Linked DNA regions of Drosophila melanogaster. The gene in region 3 interacts genetically with the main gene of each other region. Each region holds a gene or a part of one and is shown on either strand. Other genes may lie near its edges. The genes, in order: Amun, klu, ac and Act5C.

Region 1 (7,601 bases), about 11 Mb from region 3:
TTTCGATGAATAGGACTAGAGATGCCAAAAAGGGCAATCGATAGACAGGCAAGGCCAGCTGATCATCGATTTAAAAAAATATACACATGTTGTTAAGGGGAACTATATATTAATAAATAACAATGAAATGGAATTATGTTCGTTTTTTTTTAAGAATTTAATTTTTAGTCACAAAAAATATATAAGTACAAGTACATCATCCTCTTCAAGTTTAAAACAGTCTGGCACCGGTAAAAGGTTAATCTGGCAACTTTGAACAACCACTTGTGTGTATTGGTGCGTGAACAGCGAGAATGGCAAAATACAAAAACGAGCGAGTCGCACACACAGAGACGTAGTTGATTTGGAAAGGGGCCTGTGCGAAAAAGTTGCTTGTATACCGAATGATTAATACATACAGCTGTGTCATGGCAAAGAGAGAATACAAATTCAACCACTACGAATTCGAATGTCGCTCTCCAGTGGGGATTTTAGAAAATGAATCATTATAAGTTTTAAAAAATACTCGAATTTATAATTCGAAAAACGGGTTTTGCAACAGGGAAAGCGGGAAAATGTCGCAAAACAGATGGGCATCCGCATCGAGTATCGATGCGATATATCGCACGCATATCGCCGCGAGAAAAGGAAGCTATCTGGGTCTAGCCGACGTTTTGATGCTCTATAGTGGAATATTTTCTAATAAATTAAATTTCGCTTGATCGATTTTGCAGCAATTGATAAAAGCTTATTTCAGTAGATCATCAAATTGGAAAGCCAATCGCACTGAAGTACATATGAAACCATATAATTGATCATATTGATAATGTATTAGATAGGATTGCCGCTATCTGAAAAAGTGATAATGCTCTATACAAGGGTATAATGAACGAATGGCAGGCACATGGAAGCCACAAACAGAAACAGCAAAATTGCAGCTGCTATGTATGTTGCTCGACGAATAGGGTAAAAACGGCAACAGCGAATGATGGCGGCAAAGGCAAACGAGCGATAGGTGAACTGAGGGGCGTACCTGCGGGGGGATCGAACTTGAGTCGACTGTTAAGTAGGGTTCTGTTTTTTAAATATCAAGTTGCCGCTCGACCGCTCTCTCAGCTTAGACTTTGAGTAGCACACGTGTGTACTCGATTATGGAACCAGCAGCTGTTCTCGAATTAGTTAATGCTTGAACGCTGGAATAGTTTTGTAATATTTTAGATATTTATACATGTATAGCTACCATTTGATCACTACAGTGTCATCTGTAAATGCTCCAACCCTCAAACCGCTGAGTAATTAAGTACATTATTTAATATGTATGCATTTTTAATAAATGCGCAAGTAGACAAATTATATGCACTTAACTGCATGTAAGGGCAACTTTTTAACCAACCAACAACATATGCATGAATTTCTATCGCTCTTCGTGCTGAACCATAAATAATTTCGGTTCGCGCAAACAAGTCAGTAAAATTCAGCAAACCTGACGCACCCCCTCATGAATATGAATAATGACACGACGCCGCTGTCGCTGGCAACTGGCACAACAAAAGCAGCGAACATGCAGTGACGCGCTGTTTACACTAGAATATCGCGAATTCTTAAATTATTAACAAGTCTCACTGGAGCCCAACCCACTCACAAAACCCATTCCTTTTTGATTTAATTGAAGGACCTGAATATAGAGATAACTATTGTTAAAAACATTCTGCTGTTTGTAAAAACATGAAACATAATTGCACTAACTAAGCTAATAAGGGTAAACATTGCTAGAATATAGATATTTGTTACTCGAAGTTTCTATAACTCGAACATGGGTTTCGGTAACATGGATGTTGATCGACAAAGCCGCGTTTATGCCTCCGCTTTAAACAGGTATTCGTGTAATGACGCACTGCGCATAAACGCAGCGGCAGAGGCGATGGCAGAGCGGCGGCAGAGAGCACGGACGTCGCCGGCAAAATGAAATGGAACGCCGAGGGTGCCAGAGAGATACAGATACATTCGGGCACCGAGTGCGGGCGAGATAGAACGACAACTCCTGTTCCCGGTTCGTCGTCGTTCGTCATTCCCATATTCGCTTCTCGTATTCCCTCCCATTCCCATTCGCAATCCCAATTCCCAATTCCCGTCACACGAGTTAGCAGCACATCGCACAGCTGCATCGCTCCGCTCCGATCCTTTTTAATTTTTTGTTGTGCCTTCGGTGGCGTGCTCATTTCGAGAACAGAGTAACCCCTTTTTATTTGTCAGTTGTCAACGGCGCCCCTGCAGGCAGAAAGCAGAAACTGAAACAGCAGAGGAAGAAGAAGAAGCAGCACAGCACGGGCACAGCACGAAGCACGCAGCACAGCACAAGCACAGAGGCGAAGCGAAGCAAAGCAAAGCAGAGGCAACACAGAAAAACAGCAAAGCATTGGAGTAGTTGTTTGGATGTGGACGGAAAGGAAGACTGGCGGCGACTAACTAAAAGGTATTTGTTGTTCACCCACTCATCTGTGTGCGTGCAGTGCGCTAGTGAAAAGCTGTTCTCACCGTTTGCCAAAAAGACAAGAGGTACGAAAAAAGCACAAACAACAACAACAGCGAAAAATAGTAGCATTCGTTTATTTAATGCTCGCGTTCGTATTTTTTTTGAAAACCTAGATGAAAAAGAAATTTTCTGCTGCTGCTGTTGTTGCCTCAGTATATAAGTGTGTGCGTGTTTAAGTCAGTGTGTGTGTTGTGTGCGTGTTTTTGCCTGTGTATGAGCGCCTGGCTCTCTTTGGGTGTGCGAGAGCGAGTGTGCTGAGTAAGTGTGTGTGTGTCCATCCGTGTGCCTGTCAGTTTGACTGTGTGAGTGCATGGCGGACTAAAAAGAACCCGACGACAGCACTGTAAAAATTCGATTTGTGTGCTGTGCAAACGGCGGCGGAAGCGAGCAGATTTTTGGCAAATAGTGAGCGATTATCGGATTGAGTAAATACAACAAACAACAGAGACACGGCCGCAGCAGCAGCAGCATTAACAGTAATCAATCGAACTACCTCCCTATGCCACCGCACCGATCCCCCTTGCATATGTAATCGTAACTGTAAACCTAATTGTGTGCCTCTTTTCTTCTCTTTTCATCCACTCTCCTTTGCGTTGCTGCTTCTTCGTGCTCCCTCTCTCGCACTCGCATTCTCTCTGTCTCTCACGTACTCGCTTCTTTCTCGCCGGGAACTCTCAACGCACGAATAGCAGTACGTTGACAGGAGCAGCTCGGAACGGACAGGAAAAGCAGGAGACTAAACAGTAAGCAATAAATTGATTTGGCGTATAGTAGCTTACACCAAAGTACATATATTGCCGCATATATAGCCAGCCGGTCACTTGCGGATCAGCCAACGTCCTGGGCCCCAAGGCGATAGATACCACGATAAGGAGATACAGCGATACCACCAATCATTAGCAGGCGACAACGACACATCCGCATCCGCAGAAGATGTCCAACGGCAAGGCGACGGTCTCGTTCTTCGAGACCGGGAGCACCAAACAGTTCGAGTACTGCTACCAGCTCTATCCCCAGGTTCTTAAGCTAAAGGCCGAGAAGCGCTGCAAGAAGCCGCAAGAGCTGATCCGCCTGGATCAGTGGTATCAGAATGAACTGCCCAAATTGATTAAGGCACGCGGCAAGGACGCGCATATGGTATACGATGAGCTCGTCCAGTCGATGAAGTGGAAGCAGTCGCGCGGCAAATTCTATCCGCAGCTATCCTACCTGGTCAAGGTCAACACACCGCGCGCCGTCATCCAGGAGACAAAGAAGGCCTTCCGCAAGCTGCCCAATCTGGAGCAGGCGATCACAGCTTTATCGAACCTCAAGGGCGTTGGCACCACAATGGCCAGTGCACTGCTGGCAGCCGCAGCTCCCGATTCGGCACCATTCATGGCCGACGAGTGCCTGATGGCCATACCAGAGATCGAGGGCATCGATTACACCACCAAGGAGTACCTCAACTTCGTCAATCACATTCAGGCCACCGTGGAGCGCCTCAATGCGGAGGTGGGCGGGGATACGCCGCACTGGTCGCCTCATCGCGTGGAGCTGGCCCTCTGGTCACACTATGTGGCCAATGATCTCAGTCCCGAGATGCTCGACGATATGCCGCCGCCTGGATCCGGCGCCTCCACTGGCACCGGTTCACTCAGCACAAACGGCAACAGCAGCAAGGTGCTCGATGGCGACGATACCAACGATGGTGTGGGTGTTGATTTGGACGACGAAAGCCAAGGAGCAGGTAAGCAGCTAAGATGATCCGATAACTGCGGCTTGAGTATACACCCTTGCAACAAAACACTCAAACCGAGTGGTCTTTTCCAGAAACCAAGTATTTTTCCTATCCGGAATTTTCCATTAAACATTATGTTTGTAGTAGCCTAGTGGTCAATTTACAATTTACAATTTATTCGTTACTCGTGGCGTCATGTTAAATAAAAAGGAGGAATTGTAAAGTTACTACTGTAAAATAGTTAACTTTTAACATATTATCAGTAGCTTATACTTGTTGGCAGCTTTTCAAAAGTGTTAGGATGTCTAATAATTTCAAACACAGAGTTTCTTTGTTTGATTACTCTGACCGCAGTTCGCCGAGTTAACAAATTGACCATTGATGGCTAATCCAATGCTTTCTATCCCCCAGGCGGTCGCAACACTGCTACAGAATCGGAGACAGAGAATGAGAACACCAACCCGGCTGCTCTGACGCCTCTACAGTCGGGCGAGGCCAAGAACAACGCAGCTGCCGTTGGCGCCGCCCTGCAGGACGGTGACTCCAACTTTGTTTCGAACGATTCCACCTCCCAGGAGCCGATCATCGATGACAACGATGGCACCACACAGACAACGGCCACCACTTCCACAGAGGACGGTGAGCCCATCGCCCTAGACATTGGCATTGGCATCGGTTCGAGTGGAACACCGCTCGCCTCGGACTCTGAAAGCAATCAGGAGGCGCCGCCCAAGACCAACAGCCTGCCCATCCTGACTCCCACACAGCACTCGAGCCAGAATCAGAATCAAAAGCAGTCGCCGAGCCAGCCCCACAAAACTAACAATTCGATCACCAACAACGGTCAGCCTGCTCCTTTGGCAGAAGAGGAAGCGGTTACAGCAGCACCACAGCCAGCCAGCAAAGCGACTGCAGCACCAGCCAATGGAAATGGTAACGGGAACGGCGTCCTGGGCGACGAGGATGAGGATGAGGCGGAGGACGAGGAGGAAGATGAGCTGGACGAGGAGGAGGATAATGAGGCGGAGCTAGAGGCTGACGAGAGCAATAGCAGCAACGGCATTGTGAGGGACAGTAAACTGCAGCAGCTGGCGGCGAACAAGGCGGTGGATGCGGTTTCACCGGTAGCAGCGGGTGCAGACTCGGCACCAGCCATTGGACAGAAGCGTACTGCCCTGCACTGCGATATGGAGCTGAAGAACGCCGGCGGAGTGGGTGTGGGCGTGGGGGAGAAGTCACCGGATCTAAAGAAACTGCGCAGCGAATGAGGCGGAGGTGAGGAAACGAAATACGGATACGGATGCGGATGCGGGTCAGAAACGGGGATCGGTTCGGCTCGGCACGTTTCGGTTCGCCGCGTATCCGGTGGAAAGACATATGTATGTAGTGCAGTTGAGTCGACATAGAGACATAGAGCAACATTACCTACACTTTACCACAACAACATTCAAGAAATTCTACTATTAAGCAACTAACTATACATACATATAATATATTATATATATATATATATACACATATATATATATATATATACAACATATAACGAGATGCGAACACCCAACACACTCCACTCTCATACACACAACACAGACACACACAACCCGACATAACATGAACATAACCGATCAGATCAGAGCGGAATATAGGATCCCGATCCAGAAGGCAGTAAGCAGCACCACAAACAACATTTCAATAGCATAGAAAGCGCGCCAAGATGAAGAATCAGAAGAATCCGATCAAGAATCCGAAGAACAAGCAGCAGAATCAGCAGCAACAGAGAGTTCAGAATGCAGCGTTAACGTAATTTAACTAAAACGAAAAGCAAATGCATACATGAATAGTAACTACAAAACAAGATCAGATGGAAATCGATATTTTTACACAGTCAAAAGGAACATTTAAATATAAAGAAATTTACAAATGCCGCAGTTGCCCACTACATACAAAAAACAAAAAAAAAATATGAAAAATAAAAAGCGAAAGAAAACAAAATGATTAAGATGGAAACAACAATAATTATAATAAACAGAAACGTAATTTATATACATAGGTATTTAAATTTAATAATAAATCAAAACTTGTCGTATAAACCAAGCCCCCCACCACCAACTCCACCACCACCCCCTTCGACCGTCGACCCGCAGCAACTCGCGCTCTCTCTCTATCTCTCTCACTCAAAACACGCCGCACACAGAATACACCCCCTCCCCACACACATAAACACACAAACACTCGGAAGAAACAAAACAAAACAAAACTCATTTCAACACTAAGAAATTTTTGTGGTCGTAATTATAATAATATAATTTATATTATGTGTAAAACTTTTTTTTAACTTTACATATACTGAATTTTTTATAATTTATACGATAATCACGTTTCATTTGATTTCCAAAAGAGAAAAAAGAAGATACGGAAGCATACGGCCCGCATCTTAATTGCACCCGACGCAGGTCGTCCGATCTCCGCGTGGTTTGGGTTGCCGGTACCGGGTGGTTTCCCCGATATCCACGACCCATACCACTCGCAGATCGGTCGGAACTTTGAAAGTAACAACACATCTGAAAATTATAATCATTTTTATTATTAGTAGCATAAGTGCGAATAAAATGTGAAATATTAAGAAAACACGGCATAAAACTGAAAACATCCCACAATCATCTTCAATTGTTTTATCACTTCAATGGGGTTTTTGCATTTGGTGTTTGAATAGGCGTTACATCGAGAGCCGTTGGAACTAGTCATCGACTTATCGAAAATAATGTAATGGCTCGTCCGAATATGGCAACGCTCTTCAAGTGGGCAGATGTATCGATGTCTATGCATCGATAGCATGGTGTGCTAACAACACAGCTCTAGTGCTAATCAAAAGAAAACACAGAACAGGACGGAAATATATAGAATACTTTTGCACTTAATTTGACTTGCCACGACTACCTGGCCAACTCGATCGGCGATATAGACCACCGGCCCATCAGTCAATTTCATTCTGGCATTGATCGAGCTCCGTGAAACTTGCATTCCAGCTGGCCACCATCCCATACGTCCATATATCCTTTATAAAATATCTATAAATCGAAGAGGAATCCTAGCCCCGCCGACCATGTCATTGGATCGCCTTGGTTGCTGGCCGGATCGGAGTTAATTGAGACTATGCACCGGAATCGAAACAGCTCCGCATTGAAGTACACGTAGAGAGCATTTCCGAGTCCGCCCCCGTTCGGAGCCCCGTTCCTTGATCCCCTGGAAGATCGATTGTGGTCCCGGCGAGCGGAGGGCAGAATCCAGAGGAGGAGGAGGAGCAGGAGCAGCAGTGGAAACGCCGGCATGCTGCTGGTGCGTCAGCTATTCGGGGCTTCGGCCAAC
Region 2 (5,030 bases), on a different chromosome or scaffold from region 3:
TACATACATACATACATACATCTGCATATGAAATATACGTGCATATGTATAATACCAATAAGCATGTGGCATATAACTTATAGCCAAACACCTACGTTCACTTTTGGCTCTTTGCAGTGCTTCTCTTTTTTGAAAGACCCACGAATTTTGTACGAATCGCGTAAACGCGTTTATTTTCCCTGCCCACAATCACACACACACACACTTAGAGATAGTGGTGTGGGTTGAGTATCTGCGTGTGCGTGTGTGTGTGAGTGCGCCACTATTCGTTCATTCACAAATTGTGTTGTTGCTGCCTTGGCATGCTTTTGCTTTGTTTTTTCTTTTTTTTGGTTTTTTCTCAATTCAGTTTTGTTTTGTAAACACACACATACACACCTGGATGGAGGCGCACACAGATACACTGACACCTCGGCAGCTGCGCCACACACACAACCGCACACACGGTGTGCAAAGAGAGAGAGAGCGCGCTCTCTCTCTCTCTCGTGCATCGGCATTTCAAGTTCAGATATCGTATCTGTGAAGTTGTTTTGCCGGCATTTCGATTCTCACGAGCGCAGAGAGAGAGACCGAAACTGTATCTGTGTGCGAGCGAAACGTGTGTGTGGTATAGGTGAGAGAGTTTATCCGACGATTTTATCCGGGCCTTCAATGCGGCTCAAAATCAGTCAACTGCGATTTTCTTATAATGCAAGTTGGCTTATATGCATGTTAGACAAAAATAACTTCATGGGTACAAATGAAAGTCTAAAATTAAACAAATATATATTTTAGATCATTTTGTAGCGCTTTAATTTTTTTGCGAAGTTAAACAAAAAAGAGTTCCAATTAAGAATATTATATTATTTTTAAAAGAAAATAAGTTCAAAGCCAAGAATTATTAAAAACTAGACTAATTAAATTTCAATCAAAAAGTATTGAATTTACATTTTTGCTTTAGAGAATGTTTGAGTTTTAAACTGTAACTAAAAACGCTGCTATTACTATTTGTAAAACATTTTAATAAATTATATATTTGAAATTGTTTTGTAATTGTTTCTAAGATTAGAAGGCCCTTAAAGTCGATAAAGTACTAAACGCATAAATCAAAATTTTTTGGCTTCTGAGCAATGTAAGTTTAGTTTAGTTTAGAACTCAAATGAAAATGAAATGCTGTATTAAGAAGAAAGGGCTCAATTAAGTGACATATATTGCTCGAAGGATGCGAAAAGTGACCTAAAAGCCGGCCAACTTCCCAAAGGATTCAACGAGCGCTGCTTCTATTTGCCTTCGCCTTCTGCAAGACAGTGGAAAAGACATCCGCTTGGATTCGGATTTCGTTAGCTTATCTTCGCATTCGATGTTATATAACGCCAGTCGGTGGAAGTGGGAGGTGCCTATTCGGAGCTCGACTCGCAACTGGCGACCCAAAAGCGCCAAATGCAGCCGAGTGCCCCCATTGGCATAGAGTTTTGAGCAATTAGAAGCCCACGCAGCCATAAACAACAACTGCTCGGGCGGGCGGAGAGTGGGAGGAGAAGCTCTTCGAGCAGCTCCCACCGAGAAAAGCGGAACACAAAAAAAAAAAAAAGAACTAGAGAAATCTCCACTGCACGTGCTGCTCTTTCTCGCTCTCTCGCGACTTTATCCGGCGAATGAGAGGCCAACAGTCGGCACTAACACACAGATACCGCCGCCTGTTTGCCTCGGTGTGGGTGTCTCTCGGTGCGATGGTATTGGTGCCTGGTATCGTCGCTGTACGAGTGGCGACTCTACTCAGAAGTCAGTTTCTTGCTGGGCAGTGTCGGTTCAGGTTCATCGACGCTCCGCACGCGCTGCCGCAAATTCTTCAGTGCTGAATAACCAAGACGCGTCTTTTTCGGACCCAAAAAAAAAGAAAAATATATAGAAAATATATCCGAACGTAACGTAATCTTCGCAGTGCGCTTACAGACTCCCCCTCCAACCCGCCACACAAAAAACTCTCTTTCTCTCTCTCTCCGCGAAGAGAGTTTCAGTGGTTGGTTTGGATAGGTCTTGGTGGTTCGGTGTTGCCGTCGCTGCTGCCGAAGCTCTGCCGACGCCGACGACGACGCCACGTCGGGAAAACCAACCTCTTGCAGTGAAAATCTTTTCGTACGTTTTCGTTATTTGTTATTCGCACGTTGACGCGACGAGACCGCGAAACACGACAGCACGAAACTGCAGCCCAAAACTGCAACTGCAACTGCAACTGCAACAATAACGATCGCGCGTGCAACAACAGCAATTCGAAATCTAATAGTGGCAAGCTGCAAAGTATCTAAACGCCTAGAAATCCGTAAACTAAACTCGCCAAATCATTTAAAATCAAGTGAAAAGTGTGTGTCTTAACAGCCCATTAAGTAATATAAATCAATTAAAGCCGCAAAACACACAATAAGCCAAACACGCAAACGCAGCATAAGCACAAATAATACATAAAAATAAAAGAAGTGTGATATTTTGATATTAGCAATTAGAGTTTACACAACGCAGCCTAAAAAATATTTGTTAAATGTGTTTTGCCACCCCGAAGGCAAAAGCTACAAATTGGATAATGCTTGGATAATTCCCCTCCTACAAAAAAAAAAAAAAAAATTAAAGGTGAGTTCGCGAGATCGCTCAATTTGCCGACGGCTTAGTCATTTGGACAGCCGAAAGAAAAAAAACTATAAAGTGCCATCTCAGCTGTGCTGTTTGGTTGGTCGAAATGTGTCAAAAGCTGAGCTCCAGTTACGAATAGGATCGGTTTACCATAACACTCAGCGTAATATCAGATCGGCGGCTATATGCTATATACATATGTACATATGTATGTGTGTGCTGCAATCGATTGCACCCATGAATGATGGACTGATGATGAGTCCATATCAGCACGGGCCCCCTCCAGTGGCATCATCCACATCATCATCATCATCATCATCATCATCATCCCAATCTCATCTCACTCCCATGCCATATTGACTCTATCTATATTGACGTCAATCGCAGCAGCAACTTGACATCGCCGATCTGCAGATCGTGTGCCTGGCAAATTGACGCACACAAAAGCGAGTGAGATAGAGAGCCTGGTAGAAAGATAGTACTAGGACCCTTAGCCCCAGTTTCCTCACATCCAGTTGCAGCTCCAGATTCCCACTTCCAGTTTTAGCCAGTCTCGGGGAATTTTAATTGCCCATCTTGGCCAAAAGCAGAGCTGGGCTGCACTCCCTCTCTCTATCTCTCTCTCTCTCTCTCTCTATGTGAACTATGCCAATTGTCTACACCTGAGCCGAAGAACTGCCCGTCTGGCTGACAAATTTGTATGCACGCGCTTCAAAAGTGCAATATTAATTAATTCCAGCAACTCGAGACACGGGCAGCAACAACATCAACTGATCTGTATGCAACAGAAGTTGCAAGTTGCTAGTTGCTAGTTGCTTGTTGCAAGTTGCTGGTTGCTAGCGGTTGCTACTTAGTCGAGGCAATTAAATCGTATGTCATTCATTGGTAATTTATACCATTTACAGGCATCTGCTCGATGTGGTTGGTTCCTTAAACAACAGTTCTGCGATAATAGCTCCGCGATGTTTTACACTTGCCCATTAGCATAGATTACTGCATCAAGTGCTGGACCAAAATCCGTTTGCTTTGCTTTTGACCTGTCTGGCAAACGCCAAACGCCAATAGCCACAACGCTTGATCGATCGCTCTAAACCGATTTCGATTCCGATCCGATCCGATCCGATCGGCGATAAATGCAACTTGCCATGAAAAGTGCTGCCTTAAATGGGCATTAGGCTATTGCACATTTCTCAATATGTCGAGTGATTTTTTCTCTGCTCCTCCAACGCGGCTGACTTATACGCACCGCACCTTATATGACGAACGGCGACGTCTGCCGCTGTCCCACTGCATTTGGCATATAAAACAGACGGAGCCACTCGGTGGCTTCCATCGGTGGTGCAGTTGGGGGGCAATGGTGGCGATGGTGTCTCAGGTGGTTCGCTGGTTGGAGTCTCACCCGCACGACGCCATTTCTCAGACCCCGATGTCAATGGCAATTTGCATTTTCCACACAAAAGCACCTAGGTGCTCCTGGTGGCGGCTCCCTTCCCTAGAAACAGGGCGGAATAAAAAAAAAAAAAGAAAATAACGCCATATATACTGTGTTTGGTCGAGTTAAGGTCCCTGGTTCAGTGGTTAATTTATTTCTGACACAGCCTTAAATTAACAATTTTAATACAAACAACAAAAGAGCGCGCATTGAAATTGAGACGTTGAGCGAAATACAAAAAAAAAACACAAAAAAACTCAGAAAAAATACAAAATAAAATAAAAAACAGTGAAAATGCACACAATAAAGGGAAAAAAAACAAAAAGCTTAAAAGGAAAAAACATAAAATAAATTTACAGCAAAACAAAAGCGTGTTACAGAACAAAGGAGACGATTTTGGGGAGCAGTGAAAGAGGAATGTGTAAAGTGAAATAAAATTCTGGCGCGTTAATTAACTTTAAACGATTGAAAACGAATTGATTTGGAGAAGCCATTTGATTTGGATTAGTCGTGCCCGATTCAGAAAAAATGCCACAAAAGGTTGTGGAGGTGGACCCCCAGCTCAAAGGGGTCACAGCTTTTGGCCAAGCTGCTGGGCTGAAAATTAAAATTCAATCATCACGTGTGCGTTAAAAGAGACACACCATCGGCCATCTAACAATCAGACAGATCATTGGAGTTGTTAATTGAAATGCGTTAAACAATAAAACAAAGACTGTCATGTCTGTCACAGTTGCCAAGTGACTTAACACCTTTGGGATCTGCGGTTAATGCCGATCCCCGACAACGGTGTGGATACTTCGACATCTGATAGGGCCACATCGGAATCGGAACCCTGGACATGCGTCGTTATCATGCATTTGATAAACGTTTTGTTTTTCATTAGAGCCTCGCCGCGGAGGAGGAGATATCAAAGATGCGCTCCTATCCGATCACAACCCTTTAATTAGCAGGGAGTTCAGCTCTGGTTTCTTGGAACCTAAGATCTAAATAT
Region 3 (3,378 bases):
ATAAATCAGATATTTATATGGAGTGGGAAGTTGGGGGACTCAAAACCAAAACCATGGGCGGCTTTCGTCCTTTCATCGTCCGGAGATCGGTAATCTCTGGATGGCAATTTGATGGCCATGAACAGTTGACAGTTGACTTTTTATTTATTCAGCAGCAACATTTAATTCAATGGCACCTAGGCGTAGGCTCTACAGTTCTAAGCTCCCAATTTTGAAGACCCTAATAAACATGAGTACATACTTTGTACATACTTTTCATTTATCGGCTAGAATACCTGTACGATCAACATTGGTACTGAAATGTACGGAAGCTGTCCTGTAATCGAGGCCTTACTGTGTCGCAAGCATGCCGCTTTAAGAAGTGTGGAATAAATGAAACAACGTCAAGTAATCGGCAGACCGAGTCAATATTAATGACGACTTCATCTTTATTCGGTTGATACGCCATATATTCAGATCTCAGTTCTTCCCCCCTTAAGTTTATCCCGTCACGATTTTTCGGTTTTCTGTCGCAGGGTCTTAGTAACATTTATTGTACTATTTAGTCGTTATCAAGCAGAAAAGCTCAAGAAGAGCACTTGTGGCGCTAAGCGATATTCAAAGCAAAAAATAATAATAAAATTGCAAATTCATAAACCTGGTTGACACTGAATACCTTGTCTCAATGCTTCGCGGCAAATTTATATTACATCAACACGGATTTTGCAAGGTCGACCGGATATGTTTGATTTTATTAGCCTCTGGACATCTGGTATGTCTGTGCTTAGATGCCCTGTGATGTCCTTTTCACATGTAATGCTATGCAATCCCCCGGGGCTACAGCAACGAAGTGTTAAACGAGGCTCAGTGTGAGTTAGTGCCAATACAAATCTATTTCGGCACGGTTTCCTAGCGTGCAACCAGAATTCTGACAATGGTTTTAAGAAATAATGGGGACCTCCTAAATGCTTTCAAAATGCTTTCGGCTGAGAGGAACAACAACTGATACGTTGGGCATAAAGGCCCCGGGGCATTAGAAGTGTTAATAGAAAAGTGCCTCCGGCTGATCAGGTTTCGTTGCAGGACCGAATGGATCGCCGCCTGAGGTGTTGATGAGCTGGCCTTGAAAATTCCTACGACTTTGGATTCGAGCGACAATGGTCTAGTGTTTAAGATAATGTCCGAATGATCCAGGGATCGGAAGGTCATCAGTACATAAAATAAATTAAATTAAATGTATTAACATAAAATTAAAGATTTTTTAAAAGTCTAAAATACCTAGCCTTGTTAATTAAAGATTATTTTTTCGTAAACACTTTTGGTAGTGTATAAATTGTAAATGTCCCCATTTTTATAATTGTAATGACAGTCTATTCCACTAATTTTGTTGTATTTTGTTAGTTATACAAATTGGATGGCCACTTTCAATAGGAGATACAGCTTTTTACTTCGGAGGTGTTTTTACTTGGCTCTGATGTCTGGACCTTGTTGCCTTTTTAAACCGGTTGGCAGCCGGCACGCGACAGGGCCAGGTTTTCGTTTGGGGACGACAGGCAGCTGAAAATGAGCAAAAACACTCAGAAACTCTTCCCACTCGACAACGGGAACACTCAGGTCACCAACAGCTGCGTTTTACAGAGAGAACGAGAGATAATATTACTACCTCTCTATTAAAATCAGAGAAAACACTCATCTCAAGAGACGATCCTTCAGTGATGATGCTGTTGCACCTTTTCCAGGGGCAGGTAGGTAGTCACGCAGGTGGGATCCCTAGGCCCTGATACCTATAAATAGCCTGAACGGAACGGGGAAGGGCATCAGAACAGAGCCAGCGCTGAAGCAAGGAGCATCGTCACACAATAACGTTATACTATCTCTTAAAATGGCTTTGGGCAGCGAAAATCACTCTGTTTTCAACGACGACGAGGAGTCATCTTCGGCCTTTAATGGACCCTCTGTTATCCGGAGAAATGCCCGGGAACGCAACCGCGTAAAGCAGGTCAACAATGGCTTCAGCCAACTACGACAACATATCCCTGCGGCCGTAATAGCCGATTTAAGCAATGGTCGCCGGGGAATTGGTCCCGGCGCCAATAAAAAACTGAGCAAAGTTAGCACACTGAAAATGGCAGTAGAGTACATACGGCGCTTGCAGAAAGTTCTTCATGAAAACGACCAGCAGAAACAGAAACAGTTGCATTTGCAGCAGCAACATTTGCACTTTCAGCAGCAGCAACAGCATCAACACTTATACGCCTGGCACCAAGAGTTGCAGTTGCAATCTCCAACTGGCAGCACAAGTTCCTGCAACAGCATTAGCTCTTATTGCAAGCCAGCAACATCGACGATTCCGGGAGCAACACCTCCTAACAATTTTCATACCAAGTTGGAAGCCAGTTTTGAAGACTACCGTAACAATTCCTGCAGTTCTGGTACTGAAGATGAGGACATCCTCGACTATATATCACTCTGGCAGGACGACCTGTAAAAAAACAGATCAAATCTTCAGCTATTGCTAGTCGCACCCAACCATAACACACATCAAACCATTGATTGGCCAACAAGTATTACCTCAGCCACAAAGTATTTATATTCCCTAGAACTACCTTTTTGCCTTATAAATTAGTATTTAAGGTTTTATATAGTTTCTAAGGATAGTTTCTAATGGAAGACAATTTATATTTAAGTTTTTTTTTATAGCATACATTGAGGACATTAAACTGATATATATAAAATTTTAAATGAGTTTTTATTGTAAACAAAATTAAACGGTAATTAAAGTGAAACAAATTTATGTACAAAAGGAGTAAAATTCAGAAAAGTTTTAATGAACAAATGCTTTATGAATATGGGCGTAGCAATGTTTTGATACAAACTTGATCCTGTCCTGTATACCACAGGACACGCTTCCTTTTACCTGGTACATTCCTTTAAACGATCCTAGTATACGCTTTATTCGGGGTAAGCCCGAAAAAAGTATTCGAAACTGTAACCGTTAAGTATTTACAGATCACTAGCCAATGAAGATAAATTACAATAACATTTTGTAAACACTTTTGATCGAAAACGCCGATTTGCATAAATAAAGTTGGATTGAGTAGGGTGAAAAAGGCAAAATATTTACCTGCTGCATTTTTGCATATGAACCGGTCAAGGTAATAAGATCCTGAGAATTCACAATTCCGGAGAGATCGATCGATCGATCGATGAATGAACTAATTTTGAGTTATTCCCGCAATGCAGCCGAAACAAGCGAAAAAACAACGGTCGGCAATTGTTCAGATCGCCCCCGACAACGTTCAGAAAAATGAAAATAAGATCTGCTCAGGCATTCTGCACCGGAAGCCGCCGCGATGAAGCTGCTGCAAAAAAAACTCACGCAAGATACATATACTCTAA
Region 4 (7,385 bases), 5.5 Mb from region 3:
CAACTGACCAACTGGCCATATTCGGAGCAATTTGAAGCCAATTTCCATCGCCTGGCGATCGCTCCATTCTTGGCTATATGTTTTTCACCGTTACCCGGGGCCATTTTCAAAGACTCGTCGGCAAGATAAGATTGTGTCACTCGCTGTCTCTCTTCATTTGTCGAAGAATGCTGAGGAATTTCGCGATGACGTCGGCGAGTATTTTGAAGAATGAGAATAATTTGTATTTATACGAAAATCAGTTAGTGGAATTTTCTACAAAAACATGTTATCTATAGATAATTTTGTTGCAAAATATGTTGACTATGACAAAGAACTGGAATTAAGTGGCATATTTTGCATTGCTTTCCGATAATAGTTGTATTTTTATAAAGTAAAGCGTTTGTAAAATAAATACCTTTAATGTATTCTCATTTTCTTATGTATTTATAATGGCAATGATGATACTGATGATATTTTAAGATGATGCCAGACCAAAAGGCTTGAATTTCTGCGTCTTTTGCCGAACGCAGTGCATGTGCAATTGTTGTTTTTTGGAATATTCAATTTTCGGACTGTCCGCTTTGATTTCAGTTTCTTGGCTTATTCAAAAAGCAAAGTAAAGCCAAAAAAGCGAGATGGCAATACCAAATGCGGCAAAACGGTAGTGGAAGGAAAGGGGTGCGGGGCAGCGGAAGGAAGGGTGGGGCGGGGCGTGGCGGGGTCTGTGGCTGGGCGCGACGTCACCGACGTTGGAGCCACTCCTTTGACCATGTGTGCGTGTGTGTATTATTCGTGTCTCGCCACTCGCCGGTTGTTTTTTTCTTTTTATGCTGCGCTCTCTCTAGCGCCATCTCGCTTACGCATGCTCAACGCACCGCATGTTGCCGTTTCCTTTTATGCGTCATTTTGGCTCGAAATAGGCAATTATTTAAACAAAGATTAGTCAACGAAAACGCTAAAATAAATAAGTCTACAATATGGTTACTTATTGCCATGTGTGTGCAGCCAACGATAGCAACAAAAGCAACAACACAGGTGGCTTTCCCTCTTTCACTTTTTGTTTGCAAGCCGCGTGCGAGCAAGACGGCACGACCGGCAAACGCAATTACGCTGACAAAGAGCAGACGAAGTTTTGGCGAAAAACATCAAGGCGCCTGATACGAATGCATTTGCAATAACAATTGCGATATTTAATATTGTTTATGAAGCTGTTTGACTTCAAAACACACAAAAAAAAAAATAAAACAAATTATTTGAAAGAGAATTAGGAATCGGACGCTTATCGTTAGGGTAACAACAAGAAATGCTTACTGAGTCACAGCCTCTGGAAAACTGCCGCAAGCCAGAGAGAGAGAGAAAAAGAGGGAGAGCAGCTTAGACCGCATGTGCTTGTGTGTGAGGCGTCTCTCTCTTCGTCTCTGTTGCGCAAACGCATAGACTGCACTGAAAAAATCGATTACCTATTTTTTATGAATGAATATTTGCACTATTACTATTCAAAACTATTAAGATAGCAATCACATTCAATAGCCAAATACTATACCACCTGAGCGATGCAACGAAATGATCAATTTGAGCAAAAATGCTGCATATTTAGGACGGCATCATTATAGAAATGCTTCTTGCTGTGTACTTTTCTCTCGTCTGGCAGCTGTTTCGCCGTTATTGTTAAAACCGGCTTAAGTTAGGTGTGTTTTCTACGACTAGTGAATGCCCTACTAGAAGATGTGTGTTGCACAAAATGTCCCTGGAATAACCAATTTGAAGTGCAGATAGCAGTAAACGTAAGCTAATATGAATATTATTTAACTGTAATGTTTTAATATCGCTGGACATTACTAATAAACCCACTATAAACACATGTACATATGTATGTTTTGGCATACAATGAGTAGTTGGGGAAAAAATGTGTAAAAGCACCGTGACCATCACAGCATAAAGATAACCAGCTGAAGTATCGAATATGAGTAACCCCCAAATTGAATCACATGCCGCAACTGATAGGACCCATGGAAGTACACTCTTCATGGCGATATACAAGACACACACAAGCACGAACACCCAGTTGCGGAGGAAATTCTCCGTAAATGAAAACCCAATCGGCGAACAATTCATACCCATATATGGTAAAAGTTTTGAACGCGACTTGAGAGCGGAGAGCATTGCGGCTGATAAGGTTTTAGCGCTAAGCGGGCTTTATAAAACGGGCTGCGGGACCAGTTTTCATATCACTACCGTTTGAGTTCTTGTGCTGTGTGGATACTCCTCCCGACACAAAGCCGCTCCATCAGCCAGCAGTCGTCTAATCCAGAGACACCAAACCGAAAGACTTAATTTATATTTATTTAATTAATTTTAATAAAACACACCAAATGTAAGTAGCTTTCCCCTTCCCAACAACAAAACACCATCGAACCACTCCCACCAAGAAAAAGCAATAATCGAGAAAAGCCGCGGAAAATGTGTGATTTTTTTTGTAAACAAAACATTTTTTTATGTGCCAGTGCTGAAAGTGATCAAAAAATACTAGCCACGAGCTAAAGAGTTATTGTATTGACCAAAACTCCAAAAATACCCAAGTTTGGCCCTAAATTGTCAATCAAAATACCAATAGGTCGAAAGACATCAAAATTAACAAAACCAGGGTTTCAAATACCATAACTCAAGAATCAGGATTACAACTGCAGATTTCAGGATATATACATACAAATTATACGAAATTATAAAAACCAAAGCAATTCAATAGCCCCAACTCAAATGTTAGGATCTAATATAGTGTTTAAAGCCAAGCTCGCTGATGTGGGCGTGTCACGATTTCACCCAAAGATATGCCAAATTACGAATTGCAAATCAATTCGCCAACACTTTCTTTTTTTCCCACGCCCTAAAACACCAGATCATCCATAAATGTACATACATACAGTATATGCATATTATAATCTGTAAAACTAGATCAGGTTCTTGAAAATAGTGACGTAGGCAGCCGTTTTGGCTGAAGCAGAAATTTTTGCCGGTTTTTCAAAGTTGTAGTTGCAAAAATGGAGAAAACCTTCGAGCATTCGTTCATATACACACACTCACGCGCAAAATAACGAGAGAGAGTGTATGTGTGTGTGAGAGAGCGAAAGCCAGACGACGGTTTGCTTTTCGCCTCGAAACATGACCATATATGGTCACAAAACTTGGCCGCCGCAATTCAACACACCAGCGCTCTCCTTCGCACCCATAGCGACCATGGCGCGGAGCGAGCGAGATGGCGAGAGCGAGCGACGCCTATGGCGACGTCGACGCAGGCAGCGATTGAAAAACGCAGTTAACTGGCATTCAACATTCACCAGCCACTTTCAGTCGGTTTATTCCAGTCATTCCTTTCAAACCGTGCGGTCGCTTAGCTCAGCCTCGCCACTTGCGTTTACAGTAGTTTTCACGCCTTGAATTTGTTAAATCGAACAAAAAGGTAAAGTTTAACTAGCTTTGAAAAGTTTCGTGGCTCTTAATTGTTAAATTTTCTAGAGTGCGTTTAGTGTTTTTTTTTTTTTTTATTTTGTAATGTTAATTTCGGGTTCCAATTCGAGTTTTAGGCAGCCGCCATTTTAAGGGCGCATACACACAGGCAACTGTGCTCTCTTTGCGGCTTTCTTTTGCACCGGCATTCGTTAAGTGTCGTCTAGAAGCTTCTCCCCTCCCTTTTCGGCATATTCGTATTGTGGTTTTAATTTTTCGGGGCGGGGCCTTCTATTTTGTAACTGTTCTTTTAATTTCTTATTACAATTCGATCGCAAGTGAAAATCAGTTTTCAATCGGAAAAGTATTTTTTTATGAAATTTTTTTTGTCCAAGATTAAAATTTTGTACTAAAAAAACGTACATTGCATTGAGTGATTTTTAATTGTACACGAAAAACAAGTTAGTTTGTTATGACAATTGTACTTTGGTAGACCAGCGCAGTCCAAGGAAACCACGCAAATTCTCAGTTTTTTTTTTGCCATTTCTACATTACCAAATAAGGTAACCAAAAACTAATGGGAAATCCGCATTCTTTCCATTGCAGCTTACAAAATGTGTGACGAAGAAGTTGCTGCTCTGGTTGTCGACAACGGCTCTGGCATGTGCAAGGCCGGATTTGCCGGAGACGATGCTCCCCGCGCCGTCTTCCCATCGATTGTGGGACGTCCCCGTCACCAGGGTGTGATGGTCGGCATGGGCCAGAAGGACTCGTACGTGGGTGATGAGGCGCAGAGCAAGCGTGGTATCCTCACCCTGAAGTACCCCATTGAGCACGGTATCGTGACCAACTGGGACGATATGGAGAAGATCTGGCACCACACCTTCTACAATGAGCTGCGTGTGGCACCCGAGGAGCACCCCGTGCTGCTGACCGAGGCCCCGCTGAACCCCAAGGCCAACCGTGAGAAGATGACCCAGATCATGTTCGAGACCTTCAACACACCCGCCATGTATGTGGCCATCCAGGCTGTGCTCTCGCTGTACGCCTCCGGTCGTACCACCGGTATCGTTCTGGACTCCGGCGATGGTGTCTCCCACACCGTGCCCATCTACGAGGGTTATGCCCTTCCCCATGCCATCCTGCGTCTGGATCTGGCTGGTCGCGATTTGACCGACTACCTGATGAAGATCCTGACCGAGCGCGGTTACTCTTTCACCACCACCGCTGAGCGTGAAATCGTCCGTGACATCAAGGAGAAGCTGTGCTATGTTGCCCTCGACTTTGAGCAGGAGATGGCCACCGCTGCCAGCAGCTCCTCGTTGGAGAAGTCCTACGAGCTGCCCGACGGACAGGTGATCACCATCGGCAACGAGCGTTTCCGCTGCCCCGAGGCCCTGTTCCAGCCCTCGTTCTTGGGAATGGAGGCTTGCGGCATCCACGAGACCACCTACAACTCCATCATGAAGTGTGATGTGGATATCCGTAAGGATCTGTATGCCAACACCGTGCTGTCCGGTGGCACCACCATGTACCCTGGCATCGCCGACCGTATGCAGAAGGAGATCACCGCCCTGGCACCGTCGACCATGAAGATCAAGATCATTGCCCCGCCAGAGCGCAAGTACTCTGTCTGGATCGGTGGCTCCATCCTGGCTTCGCTGTCCACCTTCCAGCAGATGTGGATCTCCAAGCAGGAGTACGACGAGTCCGGCCCCTCCATTGTGCACCGCAAGTGCTTCTAAGAAGGATCGCTTGTCTGGGCAAGAGGATCAGGATCGGGATGGTCTTGATTCTGCTGGAGGAGGAGGAGGAGAAGTCGAGGAAGCAGCAGCGAAAGTGCAAGTGCGAGTGGTGGAAGTTTGGAGTGCAGCACAACAAAATCAACAACAACACCAACTACAAGATGAAAAGAGCGGAACCACCTGCACACCATCATCATTATCATCATCGTTTTGGGCGCATGTTGTGTGGTTCCAGCGTATTAATATAATTAATTTATTCCACATGAGATATGATATGATATACTATGTATTTTTTGTTTTTTTTTTATTTGTAAACCTTTAATATAACAAGAACTACAAAAAATGAAAATGAGCGAAAATGCATATTCTGCCATTCCACACACACACCAACAACACCCAACACACGCACACCCACAAGCTTACACACACACATTCGCGGCATGACAAGGACATCAAGATAAAGAAGAACTTAAAGAAGATATTTCCCAAAGCGCAAAAAGAACACACACACATTGCAAAACACAAACAACACACTAGCGTTTTGTACAATTCGTCAGCAACCTTATGTATTATTTTTTAATTATGATGTAATTATAAACAAAGTGAAACAAAAATATGAAAACAAAAAGGAAAATCAAATCTGTCTTCTCTTTCTCCCGCTCTCCTCGCTCTCTGCTGCTAACCTCGCCCTCTCCTCTCTCATCTTTTTGTCTGTCTCTCTTCCACATTTTTGCCGGCCGGCAAAATAATAACCCACACACACTCACACTTGGCTGCAGTTTCGCGTGCGATATTCACACACATTCAAGCATACAAGCATACATACATATGTATTTTTTTTTTATTTGTACACTTTTCTAATTGCATGCGTATCGATTGATAAGTTTACGCCTGAAAATGTTAATTAAAATGTGAAAATGCAACTGAAAAACTGATGAAATGAAACAACAACAAGCGAACAATTTGCTACATGTGTATTGTCTAACAACCGTTACTGCAACGGTTGCTTCGGAAAAGGGTGAAGAGGAAGAGGGCACGAGGTCGACGAACTAAGGCTGCGACGACAAGCGGCTGTCTCGCTCGCACGCACGCACGCATGCGGGCTAATGATGCGATTAAAGTGCCGTTTTAAATGGCCAAGATCCAAATAAAAGTCGAGATAATAAGGCAAACACGCTAACACAAATCGCTGGCATAGTTTCATCCGCCAGTTTGGCCAAAAGCAGCGGCTGCAAGCGCCGTTTATCCGGTTTTTCCCAAACATTTTCCATTCATGCGGCCAAAGAGGAGGAGCACCCATCTTTCCATCTTTCTCTGACTCGCACGGGCAATGCAGTGCACCGGAAAGAAAGTGGTGCGAATTGGGATTTATAGACTTACTTTATAGACTTACACGTACAAATATACATAGATATTATATTATTTAAATACATTTTTATTATATTGCTTATATATTAGTTCGACTTCGATATCATTTCTGCCAGTATAATTATGGGCTCTGCTTGATTTGGCGCTCGGATGCTACGGTAAAAGTTATCTTTCTGTGCTTTCTCCTTTGATTCTTGAGTTTCAACGGTTCCGTTTTTGTTGATCTCGTTCATCTTCTTCTTCTTGCGTTCTAGACGTTCTCCTTTGTTTTTTGTTCACAACGGATTTCGTAGCACCTTGAGCGGTTTAAATATACATACATATGTAATACATACATAAATACATATGTAGTTAGTGTTTTTTTTCGATATTCGTATGCCCAAATGTTCGAATAATTAGTAGGTCTCATTAAAAACATCACAAATTAAGAGTAAAGCAATAAAAATATAGAAATATGTAGTATAAAATAGTATTCTAGGACTAAGATTGGTCATACCTGCGGTTTCTATGTGAATATGATGCGATGTGTTGCTTCCCCACTATCTACAGGGTATCGCACTCTACGCTTACAAAGTATGAGCCTACCAACTGAATATTCAGCGATGTGATCCCTTTTGGCCAAGGGTCAGCAGCGCGATTGGCCGGATTTCAATATTCCCGCCTTGAGTCCGCCGTACTTCGCACAGAAGCACTTGGAGCAGCGACACGTGCGGATTGATATACGACATCGAAAACCCGGGAGACCAACAACCGAACCACCATGACCATACCGGAAGCTTTCGAGGATCAGGAAATATTCGTGACCGGCGCCTCCGGTGGGTATTTATGACTGCCTTTGCAGAATAA

Evidence for each region.
Region 1: of ac (region 3) and Amun, changing one suppresses a phenotype caused by changing the other (phenotypic suppression), as found in Drosophila melanogaster (one study listed by BioGRID).
Region 2: of ac (region 3) and klu, changing one enhances a phenotype caused by changing the other (phenotypic enhancement), as found in Drosophila melanogaster (one study listed by BioGRID).
Region 4: of ac (region 3) and Act5C, changing one enhances a phenotype caused by changing the other (phenotypic enhancement), as found in Drosophila melanogaster (one study listed by BioGRID).

Annotation. Positions count from the first base shown.
Region 1 is NC_004354.4:11,709,409-11,717,009, reverse strand, and holds Amun (amun), read left to right. Parts: upstream 1-1,979; 5' UTR 1,980-2,452; exon of another isoform or gene 2,453-2,535; intron 2,536-2,692; exon of another isoform or gene 2,693-2,770; intron 2,771-2,798; exon of another isoform or gene 2,799-2,988; intron 2,989-3,162; exon of another isoform or gene 3,163-3,201; 5' UTR 3,202-3,255; exon of another isoform or gene 3,256-3,321; 5' UTR 3,322-3,445; coding exon 3,446-4,241; intron 4,242-4,643; coding exon 4,644-5,500; 3' UTR 5,501-6,890; downstream 6,891-7,601. Other genes in the region: FucT6 (alpha1,6-fucosyltransferase), read left to right, coding at 7,563-7,601.
Region 2 is NT_037436.4:11,005,924-11,010,953, reverse strand, and holds the start of klu (klumpfuss), read left to right. Parts: upstream 1-1,765; 5' UTR 1,766-2,604; intron 2,605-5,030.
Region 3 is NC_004354.4:368,233-371,610, forward strand, and holds ac (achaete), read left to right. Parts: upstream 1-1,798; 5' UTR 1,799-1,861; coding exon 1,862-2,467; 3' UTR 2,468-2,715; downstream 2,716-3,378. UniProt on the Drosophila melanogaster protein: AS-C proteins are involved in the determination of the neuronal precursors in the peripheral nervous system and the central nervous system.
Region 4 is NC_004354.4:5,898,658-5,906,042, forward strand, and holds Act5C (actin 5C), read left to right. Parts: upstream 1-2,203; 5' UTR 2,204-2,356; intron 2,357-3,324; exon of another isoform or gene 3,325-3,439; intron 3,440-4,032; 5' UTR 4,033-4,040; coding exon 4,041-5,171; 3' UTR 5,172-6,742; downstream 6,743-7,385. Other genes in the region: CG4020 (uncharacterized protein), read left to right, coding at 7,300-7,354. UniProt on the Drosophila melanogaster protein: Actins are highly conserved proteins that are involved in various types of cell motility and are ubiquitously expressed in all eukaryotic cells.